Linked DNA regions of Lytechinus pictus. The protein of the gene in region 1 purifies or fractionates together with the protein of each later gene. This does not show direct contact. Links are inferred from orthologs where the notes say so. Each region holds a gene or a part of one and is shown on either strand. Other genes may lie near its edges. The genes, in order: condensin complex subunit 1-like and condensin complex subunit 2-like.

Evidence for each region.
Region 2: the proteins of condensin complex subunit 1-like (region 1) and condensin complex subunit 2-like purify together in Drosophila melanogaster (affinity purification with western blotting; 5 studies listed by BioGRID, with this or other methods). This does not show direct contact. The link is inferred for Lytechinus pictus from reciprocal best matches to the Drosophila melanogaster genes Cap-D2 and barr.

What each region holds. Positions count from the first base shown.
Region 1 is NC_087258.1:13,122,650-13,132,468, reverse strand, and holds the start of condensin complex subunit 1-like, read left to right. Parts: upstream 1-5,622; 5' UTR 5,623-5,729; intron 5,730-9,819.
Region 2 is NC_087256.1:27,810,430-27,820,044, reverse strand, and holds the start of condensin complex subunit 2-like, read left to right. Parts: upstream 1-4,912; 5' UTR 4,913-5,019; intron 5,020-9,615.

The DNA.
Region 1 (9,819 bases):
CGACGACTGAAAATATTTTACTCATAGAAGGGCGCATGAAGTGATGTGTTCCCCCCCCTCCCCTCTTCAAGTCGTGTAAAAAAATAATAATGAAATAGGATAAAAACAAGAAAAAAAAAGACAGGAAGAAAAGGGAATGAGGGCGAAATAGGCTATCAACAACAGACGTCCGAGTCATGGAACTCTTAAATAACCTATTCAATCTTTTAAATATCATTTTCAAATCATTTCCCCCTATGAAAATACCATGGCGCCTCCCCTGATATAGTTTGGCATGCTTACAGTCAATACGGCACAGACTTCAAGTGTGAATTTATTTACATCATAAACAGGAATTGTTTGTTTTTTTGGTTGTTTTGAAACGTTTTTATTATTGTCAGTGAAAACTTAAACAATCGTCAATGGCACTATATTTTTATTTTTGATCGATTCAAGAAAAATAGTATGCCAAATAAATGTGACTTCAATGAAAATCATGCATGGCAATGTATATTATACTGTACATATACAGTGCGTCAAAAAAAAACTATACATTTTTGAAATGGCTGCCAAATAAAAAATGTAGCACTTTGGGGAAAAACTCTCACATATATGAAAACCAATAAAGGCAACTTTTAAATGATACCAAAAAGTTGGAAAACTATTCATGCTTGAGCGAGCACTGCCCACTGAAACAAAGGGTATGGAAATTAGGCTGGGCCGGAATTAGCGTTCCAATTTATGTCAATTTTTGAGAGGCAAATCCTTTTGGAACTTGCAAAGTTAAGGGAGTTGTGATAAATTAATGATCAACCGTGACCAGTTTAAGTTGTTTAAGCAAATTTCATAAATTATTAAATTGAACTTTAATGTATGAGTGAACGCAAATTGCACTTTTTGGGCAGCATTTCAATTTTATCATGTGGATCCCAGCAATGTGTTCATGGGAGTCGGGAGAATAGGGGGTGAGAAAGGACTTAAGTGGGAGAAGTAGGTTGATGGAATAAGGATCAACAGAACATTTAGCCCCCTCCCCTCCTGTTGGGAGACTGATTGCTATTGTCATGTACGCGTGAATTCCACAGCAGAATGTTGATTTAATGATGAATTCTGAATTTGGGCATCAACCTTTTCCTATCAATCATTAAATCAACAATTTATCAGTAAATTAGCTCATTCAAAGTGCAATGTGATCAATAAAACATTCAGATTTTTTCAATAAACTGTTTCATAAATCATCATAATCGATAAATTTCTTGGCAATCATTCTATGAAAAAAAAAACTGACCATCAGCCACCGGACATTTGGCAGTTAAGTTTTGAATAGGCTACAATCCAGGAAGTGAAACAGAGAGAGGGGGGCTGGGAAATGGGGGTGGAGGGGGAGGGTATATGACTTTTAATTTGTAAAAGGACAGAAAGAAGAGGAATGCCCCTTTAACCAAGTCTTACAATATCTCGCCCCCTAACTTGTAACAAGTACCATCACATTACTCTGACTCTCACGAACACACTGCTGAGGTCCACAAGATGAATATGCTACACTAAGTAACTCATGAAATTTGCCTATAAGAAACCAAAACTTATCTCACTCATTAATTTAGCATAACACCCTTGGCTTTGCCAGTTCCAAAGGACTAACCACTCAAAGAATTGTAAGGCTAATCCATGCCCAGCCTAGCCGAGCTTAGTCTCTCAGGAGGAGAGTAGTGGGGGAGGGGTTGCTAAATGTTCTGTTGACCTTTATCCCATCAACGTACTTCATCTATTTGAGTCCTATCTTACCCCATATTCTCCTGACTCTCATGAACACATTGCTGAGATCCACATAATAAAGTCAAAATGCTGTACTAAAAATTGCAATTCATGATCACTCATGCATTAAATTTCAATTTAATAACGCATGAAATTTGTCAAAGAACAAACTGATCACAACTGATCATTAATTCATCACAAAACCCTCAACTTTGCAAGTACCAAACAAAAAAACCTGAAAGAAATCGGAAGGCTAATGCCGGCCCAGCCTAATTTTCATACTCTTTGTTTCAGTGGGCAGTGCTCGCTCAAGCATGAATAGTTTTCCAACTTTTTGGTGTCATTTGAAAGTTGACTTTATTGGCTTCTATGTAATATAAGTCTTTTCCCCCAAAGTGATATATTTTTTATTTGGCAGTCATTTCAAAAGTGTATAGTTTTTTGGGGACGCACTGTATATATTATATGTGTGTGTGGGTGTGCGAGGGTGTGTGTGTGCCTGGAAATTCTTGTAGAATTAAATGTGTCAATTCTGTTATTCTTTTTATTAAATATGCAATTTTTGATTCAAGAGCTGAAGGCCGGGTACCGTCATTTATTAAAATACACAAATATATAACGGGTTGTATAGAAGAAGAAAGACGCCTGGCAACGAAGTCAGGCAAGTTAAGTTTACATTTGCAGAAATGGGATGAACTGAAGGTGAAAAGGGATTTGAATGTGAACAGGTGGGATGTGTCTAGTGTGGTGCGAGTGTGAATCCTGGTGTGAATGTTGATGTTTTTTTTTTTCTTTTTACTAGTTCTTTTCAATTTCCCCTTCTCTTGTATCAATATGATTTGCAGGTTTTTTTTTCTTTCTGTATCCTATTGCGCCAAAATGTTAAACGTTCATTATGCAGATTTGTATATATTATGTTTGTTTACGTATGCGTGGTATGTGCATGTGTGTAAGGGTGTTAAGGTGGGTGTGTGTATAATTATGTAAAGTTATGTTGAAGCTTGATTTAAAATGGGATGCAATGATAATACATTTAGGTTGATTTCTGTTTTCCTGCAAATCATTTATATAGCCATTTAACATTAATTATTATTGAGATACATAGAGGGTTGGGGACTCAGTTGAGTTTTTTTTTTTTTTCAGATATAAAAGTATAATTTTAAGGAGTTTCATTCCGTCTTTATTTGCTTCAGTTCTTGGTAAATATATATGTACTTTTTTGCATATCCTTGTTGATATGAAATGAAGATTTGTATTTTTTTTTTGTATTTATCTGCAGTTTATGTAATTCATTTGAATGAAATCCTTAATAAAAACATATTGAAAAAAAAAAAGTGAGTGTATATATATTGGCCTATATATACTTGATTAGGCATTTACATGTACAAATTACAATTCACAAGGTTTTTTTTCTAAGCTTACCGTTTTTCTCTTCATTCCTGGACATATTGTATATCGTTTATCTGCTGAAAAATAAATAAATTGAACAATTTCCCCCAGAAAAATTTGACAAAGCAAAAATAAAAAATTCACACACGCATGCATTTTTTTTCATATGCCAGATGCCCCCTCCCCTTCCCCGGCACTACCTGTATTTGCATGATGACCATAATCCCTGTCTGTATTAGCATGGGCGTAAATCCCATAGGGGGCTGCCAGCACTGGGGGTGGTATACCGGTCCCGCCCCCACACCTTTTAAGACAGTATAACGATAGTTTCTAATTATATTGTTGGATTCATCTTTAAAATGCAGTAAAAAAAAAAATAGCTTCAATTTGCCTAATTTTGAATTCTAAAAACGCAAAATTTCTCTTTATCATCTTACAAGAGTTAGGCCATCATGATAACAAATCCTTATGTTTAGCTCATTTTATTGCAAAGGTTTTTTCCGCTATCATGGCAGTATGGTTATATGAATCCATTTATGAATTGAATAATTCAAATGACTTTTAAATATAATGGTTACAATTTTTATCATAAACCCCGGGGGCCACTGCCATTGACGAGTGGGTACCATGCGCGACCATGGGGTCTCGAAAAGCACCCTAAACACGTATTTTCCATATTCTGAAAATGCACCCCTTAAGACGTATTGGCGTGTGAAACCCTCCCCTTAACAAGTATTGGAAACAAAACAATACTCTTGGCAAGTATTCCCTGAATTGACCCCCCAATTAAGTACAACGATATTTTTATTGTTGTCGTCGGTTTTACCTTTACCTGATTGTGTAGGCCCTATAGTACAGCCCCATCTCCCACATCTCGCGCAAAATCGTACTCTACTAACACGTAGTGTTGACTCTTCTGGCAAAAAAGTACATCCTTTATAAAACATATTAGTCTTAAATTTTTACACCCTCGCAAATTCGACCCTAAACACGTAGCTTTCCTAGCGAAAATAGATACCCTTAGTGTTTTTGACACTCTTATTACGTTACTTACGTAACGTGCCCTATCTTGAAAAAGACATCTCTTTTACGGTGTTTTTTTTTGGTCGCGCATGGTATCCATGCACTCATCAATGTAAGTGGCCCTCCGGGCATAAACCAAAACCAAATAAAACGTTTCTTAAATACACTTGAAGGGGTGGGGGGTCATATCCTGACATCATTGTGGAAGCGGGGATAGTCTGTACAAAATATACCCTATATTTCAAGTTTTTTGTTAGATGAGACACGCATGACATATTGATCACTATAATAATGAAACACTAGGGCTTCATGTTGTTACGACAGCATATCATCCTAAGAATTGTATTTGTTCTTCATAGGATACTTTTAATTGCATTAATTGATAATTGACGCAACAATCTATGTCAAATGTGAATTTTGCTCCAAATTTGAACGTTGCATCATCCCCCAATATAATTTTCAATATTATTCAAAATTTTTCCTTTCTGCGATATTTTCGTTGTCATTTGCATCATTGCCATTTCCGCATTTTTTGAAGTTTATCGGATGAGTTGCCATGAGATTCATTTCATAAGGCATTATAATCGTTATATTCGCGATAATCATGATCCTATTTTTTTATATTCTCAACTCACTAATTTTAACTAGTGAGCAAATGAGTTTTCATTGAATAAATCTCGACTGTTTGATCATTATTTTTATAATATAACAACTTTATATCTATTCTACCTTTCGTTTTTGAAAAATTACCCCTGCTATATATCCTCTGCACATTGTCAATTAAAACGACTGAAGCAATTTTTTTAAGGCACTCGATCACGTTTGCTCGTCGCAATTTTCCCTTGAAAGACGTTTTTCAATCATCCTGACTTCATTCCAACTACTATTTACTGTAATTAAGTATATATCGATCACAACAACAGTAGCCATTGTCATAATTGAAATAGCTCAAGGTAACTGTCACCAATAGAGATGGTAATACTATGTACAAGGACATAGCTCTTGATGTGGTATAATTATTGCACACTTGAAAGACGTTTTTGGACCCCGGGTTTTGGACACCATTCTGTCTTCCAAGTACTAAAAATTTGCTCGCTCACTCGCATATCAATATAAACTGCATTAGATAATTTATATCACAAAAAAACTCAAATATACTAGCCATCGAAAAAACAATCATGATAATGATGGTATTGTACGTTATAATTTATATACCCCCGTGTTTTGGGTGTCCCCAAAATGTTGAAATTTCAGGTCAATATATTGCAATCATTCCACCCATGCTCGGACTGTATAGTGACAAAACTGACTACTAGTATATGCTAGTAAACAATTACTGTACTGTAAAGTAACTTTATAGTACAGTAATTGTTTACTTGCATTGTAATTCTCGAGTTTTGTGAACGACTTTTACCGAAATAAATTTTTGCTGATTGTGCGATACCATAGTTCACAAATCGAGCGTTCTGATTGGTCAGTTCTCGTTCATTTTTTTACAATACAATTTTTCCGCGGATTTTGAAGCCGTTGATGCGGAATCCTTCGCCTACGGGAACAACATTTTGCCGTTTTCATTCGTGTTGGTTCGTATTTTTGTTCACCTTTTCATCATATGTATTCTGTCTTAAACTTTAATTTCAAATGTGAATGACTGGTTTTGATGGAAAGTAGCTTTATTTCTGATCGTTTCTTCTACAGCCCGGCTTTGAATTTGACCGAGTTAATGTTGGCTTGATTGGGAGGGCTACGCAGCCTCGAAGGCCAGCCGCGCCCCGAGCGAGGCGGCGAGGCAAGGTTGGGGGTATGAAGGTGGGCCCCGCCATGGCCCATGTCTGCGCACCTAATTATTTAACCTCAGATTTAATATAGATTTCAATTTACTTCACAAAACTTTTTAGTTGATAATGTTCCTTATATTCTTATGAGTAAGTGTGCAAAAAATCTCATAAAAATTTGAAAAAAACAAGATTTTCTTAAGTTAATGATTTATCATGGGAAACAAAACTCAAATTTCAAAAGTTAACTTAAAGTTAAAACCAGGCCGAGGCCCGAGCCAGTCATTCACTTTTTTTTGGTTTCAGATTGAACAAAAAATTGTGCCCCATGATGTCTGTGCACAATAAAGTCTTTACACACGATTCAGCTCAGGGATTTTGATGAGAAAGGCTGCATATCAGTAGAGACTAGAGGCGCAAGGCAATATGGGAGACTCCAATAGAGGAGACAATTTCCCACATTGGAGACTTGCTTTGCAAAAGGACAAAAGAAACACCAACAAAAACATGATTTTTTCCACCCAAAATTTTGTCTCGCTGAGGTCAGAAGCCCATTTGTTTTGTGTGTGATTGACAACAAATATCCTTATCAAAACAAAAGTAGACGGTGAATTTTTAAAGTAGACGGTGAAAAGGGGTAATTTTTCATGAGGAATCTGCTTATCACATTTTTATTTGCCGCCAAGGTAATCCTTTTGCAGCAAATGTAAACAAAGGAAATTGATCTCCAAAACTGGAGACTGTGTCTGAAATTGGATACCCAAATTCTTTACAAAAGTCTCTGATATTGGAGATAATCTCCCACATTGGAGACAGTCTCCAATATTGGCCATGCGCCTCTACTGCATATTGAGGCTGTCGGCGTCACATGAAATGCTGAAAATTTCTGGAAATGGCTAAACTTAAGAATTCATTTTTTTCCACCACTGAGTCAGGTTTTTTAATGAATACCTTTCTTTCTAAATTCTATGAATTGCATCTGTAATTGTAAAGTTTGTGGCGAGCTATGGTGGTTGTTGCATATCTTCTTTTAGAATCGCGCAGATACACGTGTGCGCAGACACGGCCAGGGGGACCTTACCATACATGTAGGATACGTAGGCCAGCTTGATTGGCGATGTAGAAAGTTCTAGACTTAAAAATCTGCTGTTTCGCAGGAGTTTTTATACATTTTCTGATTTCTTTTTAGTCGTCCTGCTACACAGACTGGAAGTATCCCATAGGACTCATAGTGCTGGGGTGGTATTCTGAGATAAGCTTGTAACCGATTTTGCAATCGGCAACCGATTCCATTCGATTTCACCACAATCGGCAATCACTTGCCGATCTTCGATCATGCCCCTTGAAGGAAAAAATCGAAAATAAAAAATTGGCGTAGATCTGGTTACAGTGCGTGATCGCTCAGAACATATTTCAAGATTGTTTTTGAGGTGCTAGCTATTTGGAGGTCGCATTATTCAGGGAGAAAGACGCGGTATTATCTATGGCGATGTTTAAGAGGATAAATATCTTCTCTTCCAACTCATGGTGATAGCGGATGCCGCCGTGAACTTTGAAAGGTCGTATTACCGACGGAGCTCACTGCGCTACTCTCTTACCCCCTTTATAATGATATAAATCTTCTCTTCAACCTCGTGGTGATAGCGGACCCCGCCATAAACTTTTAAAGACTGTACTATTGACGGAGCTTATTACGTTACTCTCTTACATCGTTTATGATGATATACATTTTATTTTCAACCTCGTGGTGATAGCGGACCCCGCCGTGAACTTTTAAAGGTCGTATTACCGACGGAGCTCACTGCGCTACTCTCTAACCCCGTTTATAATGATATAAATCTTCTCTTCAACCTCGTGGTGATAGCGGACCCGGCCATAAACTTTTAAAGACTGTACTATTGACGGAGCTTATTGCGTTACTCTCTTACATCGTTTATGATGATATACATTTTATTTTCAACCTCGTGGTGATAGCGGACCCCGCCGTGAACTTTGAAAGGTCGTATTACCGACGGAGCTCACTGCGCTACTCTCTAACCCCGTTTATGATGATATACATTTTATTTTCAACCTCGTGGTGATAGCGGACCCCGCCATAAACTTTTAAAGACTGTACTATTGACGGAGCTTATTGCGTTACTCTCTTACATCGTTTATGATGATATACATTTTATTTTCAACCTCGTGGTGATAGCGGACCCCGCCGTGAACTTTTAAAGGTCGTATTACCGACGGAGCTCACTGCGCTACTCTCTAACCCCGTTTATAATGATATAAATCTTCTCTTCAACCTCGTGGTGATAGCGGACCCGGCCATAAACTTTTAAAGACTGTACTATTGACGGAGCTTATTGCGTTACTCTCTTACATCGTTTATGATGATATACATTTTATTTTCAACCTCGTGGTGATAGCGGACCCCGCCGTGAACTTTGAAAGGTCGTATTACCGACGGAGCTCACTGCGCTACTCTCTAACCCCGTTTATGATGATATACATTTTATTTTCAACCTCGTGGTGATAGCGGACCCCGCCATAAACTTTTAAAGACTGTACTATTGACGGAGCTTATTGCGTTACTCTCTTACATCGTTTATGATGATATACATTTTATTTTCAACCTCGTGGTGATAGCGGATGCCGCCGTGAACTTTGAAAGGTCGTATTACCGACGGAGCTCACTGCGTTACTCTCTTACATTGTTTATGATGATATACATTTTATTTTCAACCTCGTGGTGATAGCGGATGCCGCCGTGAACTTTGAAAGGTCGTATTACCGACGGAGCTCGCTGCGCTATTCTCTTACCCCCTTTATAATGATATAAATCTTCTCTTCAACCTCGTGGTGATAGCGGACCCCGCCATAAACTTTTAAAGACTGTACTATTGACGGAGCTTATTGCGTTACTCTCTTACATCGTTTATGATGATATACATTTTATTTTTAATCTCGTGGTGATAGCGGATGCCGCCTTGAACTTTGAAAGGTCGTATTACCGACGGAGCTCACTGCGCTACTCTCTTACCCCCTTTTTTGATGATAGACATCTTCTCTTCAACCTCGTGGTGATAGCGGACCCCGCCGTGAACTTCAAATTGATTTGAAAACGCTAGCTACCCAAAACATTTTAATAACATATTTCAAATCATCGTGCGTGCTTGCGTCTTCTACTTCATTTTAATTGCACTTGCGACTTTAAGATGATGCGTCGTAAGAGATCATTCCAATAATTCTAAATCGCTAGCACCTAAAAATACTTCTAAAAGATGTCTCGCCGATCGTTCATTAACCTGTGATCTATGAGAAATATTTTCATTTTATTTTCCTTTGCGCCTTTGCTCGGAAGATGCGTCTTTTGTTTATCTTTCTAATAAAAATCACTCGGTTTATTTTAAAGCAATAACACCTCAAAACCCCTGGCTTTAAAACATGTTCCAAACGATCGCGCATGTTGGCGACTTCCATTCCAATGCATTCGTCTTTGTGACTTTGTCAGGAAGATGCGCGCGACCGCGAACAACATTTTGATGTCATTATTCCTTTGTTTTTAAACATCGCCGATTCGATTTTCGATTCGATTTCGATTTTAGAAGCTTAACTGCCGATCCGATTTTCGGTCTGATTTTTGATCCGATTTACAACATTATTCTGAGATCCATTTTATCTCAGATAAAATAAAATATTTTATCTCCGTTAAAATCAGTGAGATAAAATCTCTCCGAATTGGTATTCTGAGAACAATTCTATCTTCATTTTATCTCTGTAAGACACACCTATTTTTTAATCAATATCCAATTAGAAACGCGCTTTTATAGCTCTTTTATATCATTCAACCAACGGAAATCCATTCCGCTAGGAGGTGTGACGAAGGAGTGAGATTGCGTCAATTTATTGA
Region 2 (9,615 bases), on another chromosome or scaffold:
TTGTACATAATTCCCTGTATCACACGTATATGCCGCCATTATGCCATGTGCAATATCTCACACGCACATGACCTTCCAAAACATCTCTCCTTGTATCACGGCGATTACACGTGATTAACATTTGTAACTGAGGAGGGGGGGGGGGGCTGAATGTTCCTAAGAGAAAGATTGTGCTAGCCTTCATCCTTTCACATTTTAAAATTATTTTCATTTATTTTATTTGGATGATATCCGTTCACAACGTTACAGAGTTTCAACGAACTTTACAAATCATAAAAATTGCCTGAATCAAGACTAATACATGGTCTACGTTCGCGATAGGCCCCTCCCACCACTTCGCGCGATCTTCAACTTCATGACGATAATTACGTCACGTACACGTCATATGGAGGTTTTTGCTTTGCATTTTAAAATTTAAAAATAAATTCACTAATTTTTTTTTCTTAAATTAATCTAGATATAAGACTTCGTCTCAAAACCATCTTTTTTAAGAATGAAAAGTCCCAAAACGGGCCCCAAGATGTTTTAATTGAATATCTTTAAGTAGAATAGGGTGGGTCCTTCAAAAATATTATACAGCTCAGCACGCACTTCCAAGACGGTCCCTGAGACATGAATTTAGGGAAAATCCCAAAAGATGCAGCAAATGCAGAATTTTTATTGGTCAAATTTTGGAGGGCGCCGCCCCCAAATCAAACTTAGCTCGCTCACACGCAATCCTGGTGACGTCATGGTGACGGGTCGCGTGTGCAAAACTTTGAATTTCCCCATTGACTTTATACACATACAAACTCTGCAGTTCATGTGGAATACAAGGACAAAGTACGATATTTTCCCATTCAAAGAACAAGTAGAGGTAAGCCATTCGAAAATATAGAATACTAAATAATTACTGACAAATAATTACCGATCCTTTTAATGCCAAATATATCATAGCTACCTGAAATAACTCAATTTAGGGTGAAATTATCAGTCAAGAGGGATGCATTATTGGGGCTTCGTAGGATCAACGGACGCGCTCGACGCACTCGCAATGGTATGTAGGGATTTTGATAGAGCAAATACCGAATATACCGTTGTCCCTACTTTTAACTTGATTTTTCTCTGTTTTTTGGCAATTAATGCCAAGAGGGAATATTAATTTGCATTTTGGTCGCGTTAATTTTCAAAAATTTTATTCATTAAAGACAAAAATTGAAGAGCCCCGACGGGGGGATTTTGCATTGCAAGTCCCCTAATGGTGGCTGCACGCTAGCGAGCCGTCTGTGTACGAGGAGAAATAAAAAAAATAAAAAAATGTTTAAAAACTCCTCGAAACAGACGGCTGCCAGCTGTCTAAAACTGCAGGTGCTAACAGAAAATTAAATGCCTGGGACTGATGATTAAATCCGACACCCGGCCCAGCCCAGGCCAGTCGCTGCGCGGAAATATAAATACATCTAATATTGTGCATCGTCAAGTTATAAGTAGACTATTCCAGTTACATTTAAAAGCGTTTCATTGAATTTTATTAAAAAAAAACTTACGTCGTCGTGTTGCATTTTGTCTGACAAAGCACCAATTCATGAATTTATCTACAAAACTCAAAAGTACAGAATCCGTGGCAATCACGTCGGCTCGCACATGTCACGTCGCAATTTTGCCAAATCTATGGTATCACTAATAGAAAAATGAATTGGAAAAAAAATACGTTATTGCCCCCATAATCCTTTTCACTCTCAAAAGTTAAAAGAAGGTCATTATTCAAAGACAAATTAAACAATGAAGGCACCTTTAATTGTTGCCTTAAACTGTCAATTTCATAAGTAAAAGAAATTCTTTTAATGGGGCGACAACATGCATTAGCAAGTTTACTTATTTTTGTAAAATTAGTGTTTTGATGGCAGCTAGCCGTTTCAGACCACTGAATGAGTAGTGAAAGCGGTTCCCGATCATGCTGGCCCATGGGCCCTGCAGTGGCTTCTGATATTTTTTCGCTTTTCAAGTCAAAATATATCTCCACACGCTTTAATTTGAGATATTATACGTCATTTTCATGATTACTAAAAGTGCTTAAAATGTACCGATTTTATGTCTAAATATAAAATACATTTCAACTGACTCCCGCTTCGCGCACTCTCGCCTTCAGTTTTTCCAGGCTGGAGATATTTCTATCTCAATAAAAAGAGTAAAATTCACAGAGCAGAATTTTTCTTTTTTTTTAAACAAGTGCACACCAAGTTACCAATAATGCCTATAGCATTTCCATTTATTTGAAAGCAGGATAAGAGAGCATTGCACATTAAATGCCTTGCTCACAGGCATCGATGTGCCGCGGCCGGGGATCGAAACCGGGACTTTTTTTATGTATAGCCAGGCGCCTTAGACCACTCGGCCACGGCACCTTCAGCAGAATGCTGAAAATTTGATCAAAATCGGATAACAAATAACAAAGTTATTGAATTTTAAATATTTGAATTATTCCGGTGAAACTATTCTAGGCATGTCTTTATAAATATTCATTAGGTGGGCTGATGATGTCATATCCCCCACTTGTTCTTTTGTATTTTATTATATAAAATTAGATTTATTCAAATTTTTCTACCAAGAACTCAAACAATTGGATTGACAACTGATTAAGTGCATTAGTTATTTATTGCCGCAACTTATTTCATCATAATGCAGACACATCATTTACACATGTATGAAAAAATGAAACATTTATGATTTCATGTAATTACAAAATAAAAAGGAATGTGACATCATAAGCCCATCATATAACTGTTTTCACAAAATAGTGATAAATTTTAAAATTCAATAACTTAAATCGTTATAATTGTTATCCGATTTTGATAAAATTTTTAGCATTTTGCTTTGTGAATTTTACTCCATTTATTCAGATATAAATATTTTCAGCCCGGCCGGACCATCCCTTTAATGATTTAATTAGATAAATATGTTCAGTCCTAAAAATAGTCTTTAAAATGTTAATTTACATGTCTGAATATCAAAAATCTACAACTTGCACTTCGCGCCCGAGTATATGTGGATGGTGTTCTTCATAAATGAAGCGCTATGTTTGCTATCGCAAGGTTTGATTAGTAGGATACTTCTCTTGGTTTTACATTGCTTATATGTGCTTAGAATTTCTTTGTTTTTAGGTCTCAAGGTCTCGATCTATTAACCAAAAATTCAACTCGCGGCGCCGCATTATCATTATTATAATTATTATTATTATTATTAGTATAGTAGTAGTAGTAGTAGTCAGGCGCGGATCCAGGGGGGCACAGGGGGCACGTGCCCCCTTTTATTATTTATTATTATTATTATTTGAGATCACGCGCTCACATTCTTCATAAGGCTATAAGGTGTAGTTAAAACACCATGGCCCGTATTTTGAACTCGAGTTTAAATCAATCCCTGGTTTAAAGTTGTGGTTTAATATAAATATATATTTACTCATTCGACACCCCAATTGTTCACAATTGCCTGAGAATGGCAACGGAATTATTTTCCTTTGTAATGAATGCAAAATGAAACAAAATATTAAACATAAGAAATTCATAATATAAAGATAATTTTTGACTCCCATAATTTTAGCACATCGGTAGAGTTGGACCTTGGTCTAAATTAAACCTGACTTGGAAATACGGGCCTACAGTCTTTATATACATAGGACTGCCCCCCCCCCAAAAAAAAAAGGCCTTCAAACACAAAAAAAAATCAGCTTTTAGCAGTCAATTGGGGGAAATGTGAATGAAAAATAATGTTCCGTCCCTCCTATTTGCCTTTTGTATCCCCTTCTCGTGCCCTCCACCCGCTCGATCGCTTTGCTTTCTCGCCGAGGATCTCACAACGTCACAAAAATTGTGCTCCGACCTTCAAGATTTTGCCCCCTCAAATCTTAAAGTGTTCCGGCGCGCCTGTCTTTAATGTCTTGCAACGTAACTTTAACTACTAACTATACCGTCCTTTATTCAATAAATTGAGGCAAAACATCTTAATGGTTTTAAAAATATACTTTATTGAGGGTATAGTCAGTGGAGGGATGATCAAGATATTGTGATTGGCGATGGTCAAATAAATGAATAGATAAAAAATCTGTGAACTATAGGCGCGTTAATTATTTATATTAAGCATTATGTTGTACAATTTCCATATTCAAGGATAATTTTTTTTTCATCGTTAAGTGCCAGAAAAGAAGAAAAATAGGCCTATAACTATATTACAAAAACTTTGACAAACAAAAAAGGAGTATTTTAGAAACCGGACCCCAGCCTTTAAATTGGCGGTTCATCTATCACCCCCCCCCCCCTCCCCCTCTAGCTCCCCTGTCATCCGCCATGTCCTGAAATAAATTTTGGTGGAGCTTTAATAGCTAAATGGTTATTTCATAGTGGAAAGACCTATACAAAAAATTTTTTCGCCCCCAATCCAAGTCATAATTTGTCTTTCCTGTCAGTCTTTATTTTCCATTTACTGCAATGTGTTTTCTCCCGTTTTTTCTTCTAATTTCCTTTCCTTCCCTTTTCCCTCAACCTTCCCCGTATCTTTCCCTTTTTCCGAATTAGGCCTGGACTTCCTTGCTCCTGCCCCATTTTTTCAAAATATGGGTATGAAATGGGATTTAAAAAATGAATTTTATTTCAAATAGGGCCTAGGCACTGAAAGTGCGAGCGGGGCCGGGGGTCAATAATTAGGACTCGGACAAGTGTATTTTTAATCAGCGCAATTTTACTCTAGATAAGCCTGCGAATGATTGTCGACCGCTCACTGCCAAGAATTCTTAATAAAGCCCCCCCCCCCCCTTCACCTGCTTCCCCGCCCGGGGGGGGGGGGGGCGATTCGAACGAGCGCGAGCTAGCTAGCTACAGCAAGCGATCGAGCGAGCGGCGCGAGAGAGCGCATGGAGCCAAGATTATCGGCTGCGCATGCGCACCTACTCAAATGTCTTCAGCGCCATTTTCAATATTCGCAAAAGTTGTTTGTAAACAAGCCGCAAGTATTTGTCCTTATAAGTCTATTGAACATTTTATTAAGGTGAGTTTTTTTTAGCTATGTACTAGGCCTAAATTTGTAATTGGTTAGAAGGTGCGCCCGAAATTGTTATTATAGGCGTAGAATAGTAAACGTAACAAGTTGCAGTTTCTTCTAGATCTAGGCCTACTGGAATCTTACATCAGTCCCACCTATTAAATTCTGTGACTGTTAATGTTATTTAATACGAAGACTGTTCGGACAAAAAAAAACATAAATTAAAATCATCATGCTCTGGGTTTTCTTGACATACATGCATCATATATTATATCACAAATAATTATGAAGTTTTTTATTTTAATGTTGTTTGAGAGCAATTTTTAAACAATTGAGGCCTGAGGCGTGCTAAAAAAAACAAAATTAAATAAAAATGACAAAATACCGTATGGGTACTAGTATTCAACCCGGCATAATTCAAAGATTTTGACATATTCCCCAAAATATTTAGAAATGGGGAATTTATCTTAATTTCACACCTTTGTTATTTCCAGGGTAATCTGTTGTCGATATTTTCTTTGTCAATCTGTCGACTGTATGCGCGGAGGGTCGAATTATGCGGCGATGGCCTTTTGCACTGAATGGTACTAGTATTCAACCTAGTGAGGATTGATAGCAAATCTCAAAAGGGTTTAGATTGCTAAATTAGATCTAGATCTATGTAAGACTCTGGCTTTGATTAATTCCCTGTTTGGTCTCATCTCAAATGGTCTAGTCCATAGTCGGATGGGACAAGGGCAGATTGAGAGACAGGGCCATCTTTCATCGCTAGGTTGAATACTAGTACCGACGGGTTGAATACTAGTACCAAAATCCGTCGCCGTATAATTCGATCGCCCGCGCACACAGTCAACTGGTTGAAGAAAAAAATAACGGAAAAAGAATAACCAGCATTTGCTCTTGGAAATAAGACGGGTCTGAAATTCAGGTAAATTCTATATTTCTATATATTTGAGGAAACTCTCCAAACGGGTTGAATACTAGTGCCCTTACGGTACATAAGTTTAACATAATTCAATTGCCATGGCCCATGTCCATGAATCATGAAGGCATGATTGCATCATTGCAGTCAAAAATCCTGATGGGTTGACTTGGAATTCTGCAACCTTTACCGTTGCAGGAAATATTTTTTACACCGGCAGTGCAGAACAGAGGCAGAGGAAACAATCTAAAAATTTCTTGAAACGATCAAGACTGGATGTTTGGAGTAAATTTTTCACTCAAACAAGAGTTGTAAAAAAAATGTAAATTAGACTAGGCCTAAGCTAAGTCTAAGTTAGATCAATGGTCATTTTGCCTCCGACGAAGATTCTGCTAGGATCGAAAGCTTAGGCCCCTTTTTGACTTTCTAAGTTAGATCGACTTAGACTAGAGAGAGAAATGACCGAGATAATCTGAGATTTTTGCCTTTTTTTCATGTTTTTGCAATTTTGTGGCGTGTCGTCTGTCGTCCGTCCACAATTTCAAAATGCTCCTTCGCCATTTCAATTCTGTTTGCTTTATATAAAACTCATTAAATATGCTAATTTATATGCATTTTTCAAAATTCACAAAAAATGCTTCTTTATTTTTTGACCGATTTTGATTTTTTTGCTTCCATCTGGTAGAGCTTCATGAGGTTCACTAAACTTCTACACAGAATTTTTAAATTTGGAGTAGAAAATTATGCTAATTTATGCGAAATTAACTCATGCATATTTTTTAAAATTCACATAAAATGCTTCTTCTTCTTTATTTTTTGACCGATTTTGATTTTTTTCTTCCATCTGGTAGAGCTTCATGAGGTTCACTAAACTTCTTCACAGAATTTTTAAATTTGGAGTAGAAAATTATTTATGCTAATTTATGCAAAATTCATAAATCACAGAAAATGCCTCTTCTTTATTTGTTGACTGAATTTCAAAACGCTTCTTGTTCATCATTTAAAGTCTGATTTCAATTATGTTTGCTTTATATGATAGCATTAGGTGGGGGATTTAAAACTTCTACACAGAATTTTGAAACTCATAAAATATGCTAATTTATGCGTATTTTTCAAAAAATTCTAATAAAATGCTTCTTTAATTATCGACCGATTTTGATTTTTAGAATTTTGAAATTTTCAGTAGAAAATTATTCATACCAATTTATGCAAAATGTATTCATAAATCACAGAAAATTCCACTTCTTCATTTTTGTTCCATCTGAGAGCTACATGAGGTTCACCAAGGTTCTACACAGAGTTAAGAAATTTTGACTAGAAAATTATTTATGCTTAATTTATATGAAATTTATTCATAGATCACAAAAAAATGCTTCTATGTCATTTCTTCATCAATTTCAATTCTATATCCTCAATTTATGTCACCAATGTAATTCACTACAGTGTCAACTGGGCTGAAATTAAAATTGTGTTAAAGGAGAATAAAACCCTTGAAACCAGCTGAATCCATATCAAAGAGAAAAATCAAAGAAACATATTGTTGAAAGTTTGAGCAAGATTGAATGAATAATAAGAAAGTTATGAGCATTTGAATATTGAGATCACTAATGCCATGTAGATCCTCCCATTGGCAATACGACCAAGATCTGTGATGTCACACACGTACAACTCCCTCATTACTTTAGTACTTATTTCACTTATATTCTCATTTTTATAGAGTCTATCACAAGGTGAGGTGTTCTCTTTATGAGAGGACAAGTACAGAGGTTTCACAACATTATATCATTGATGAATCGTTTGTCATATGATTAGAATGAGCAAAAAGAGATGTTTTGGGGTATATTTTCAGTGTCCAAAAGGGGAGAGTTGTTCATCTGTGCCATCATAGATCTTGGTCGCATTGTCAATGGGAGGATCTCCATAGCATTTAGTGATCTCGACGTTCAAATGCTCATAACTCTTCTATTGCTAGTCCTATTTTACTCAAACTTTTGTTGATCTTATTCTTTGATTTTTCTGCTTTCACAAAAGCTAACTTGCTCCAAGAGTTTCATTCTCCTTTAAATTTCGTTGCGAGATGCCGGATGAGCTCCACATCATTGATATGCTAGTTTTTTGTCTCACCTGCATAGCAGAGTGAGACTATAGGCGCCGCTTTTCCGACGGCGGCGGCGGCGGCGTCAACACCAAATCTTAACCTGAGGTTAAGTTTTTGAAATGACAGCATAACTTAGAAAGTATATGGACCTAGTTCATGAAACTTGGCCGTAAGGTTAATCAAGTATTACTGAACATCCTGCCTGAGTTTAATGTCACATGACCAAGGTCAAAGGTCATTTAGGGTCAATGAACTTAGACCATGTTGGGGGAATCAACATCAAAATCTTAACCTAAGGTTAAGTTTTTGAAATGTCATAACTTAGAAAATATATGGACCTAGTTCATGAAACTTATACATAAGGTTAATCAAGTATCACTGAACATCCTGCATGAGTTTCACGTCACATGACCAAGGTCAAAGGTCATTTAGGGTCAATGAACTTTGGCCAAATTGGGGGTATCTGTTGAATTACCATCATAACTCTGAAACAACCAAAACATTACTTTTTTTCTTTCCAGGGCTCTTTTTGGAGAAACTTAAAAATTTTCCAGGGCTACTTTTTCATTTTCCAGGGCTCTTTTTCCACTTTCCAGGGCTACAATTTCTGGAGCTATTTCGCGGCTTTTTTGCGTTTGTGTGTGTGTGTATGTGTGTGTGTGTATATATATACACGGTAGCTAGCATATACCAGGGAAGTATAACACTTCCCTGGTTTGACCTTCGCATTGTTTCTTCGAAGTGATTGTTTATGATTTTAGTGTTGTGATGATAGATTGATTTTGATGCTTGAACGATATCTGAGTTGATTCATGGACCTAATACAGACCTATTCAGATTAAATCATGGAGGTAGAACCTCCATGAATTAATCCAAGTTTGAATGTTTGATACTTGGTTGACGTGAGCTTTGCGTGTTTACTATTTAGTGTTATAGCCCATTTGCTAAATTAATCTAGAAAGATCTGTATTCGTGTCTAAAGACAATGTAAAAGAAAAAGAAAGTTCTGAATTTGTACAATTCTGAGGTAATTTATTTTATCATACAATATAGGTACCTGCAAATGTTATGAAGTTGAACAAATATCCTTCGTACATATTTGACTGAAAGTTATTTAAATGACACTTTTTAAAAAAGACTTAAAATTATTCATACAAAATAATGATATAAGTCATAAAGGTAATTGAATTGTTAAGCGTTCGTATCAGTTACACAGATTCATGACAAAAAGGCCTACCAGAACCAAAACTGGCAATTTCCATCATCCATCATGAATGCCTAGCCTTGCACGGCCTCTAATTGAAATGAACTTATCCACGTCTTTGCAAATTTTACCTGACCTAATTTCTCCACACAGTGAGAGAGGCCATGTGGCAGCCAAACCAAAACAGAATGAAAAGGGCGGCAATCTCGTACCCCCCCCCCCCCCCACCACCACAAGAATATCAGATTTCCAAACATGTGCTTCTCAAGATTGTGCAATACATGACGGAGACAAAGAAAGTTATGTAAACAAATTGCCGAGGGTTGATGTCCCTGAATTAAGGGGCTAGTCTACGTTTTCAGTCACTTAAGAAAATGG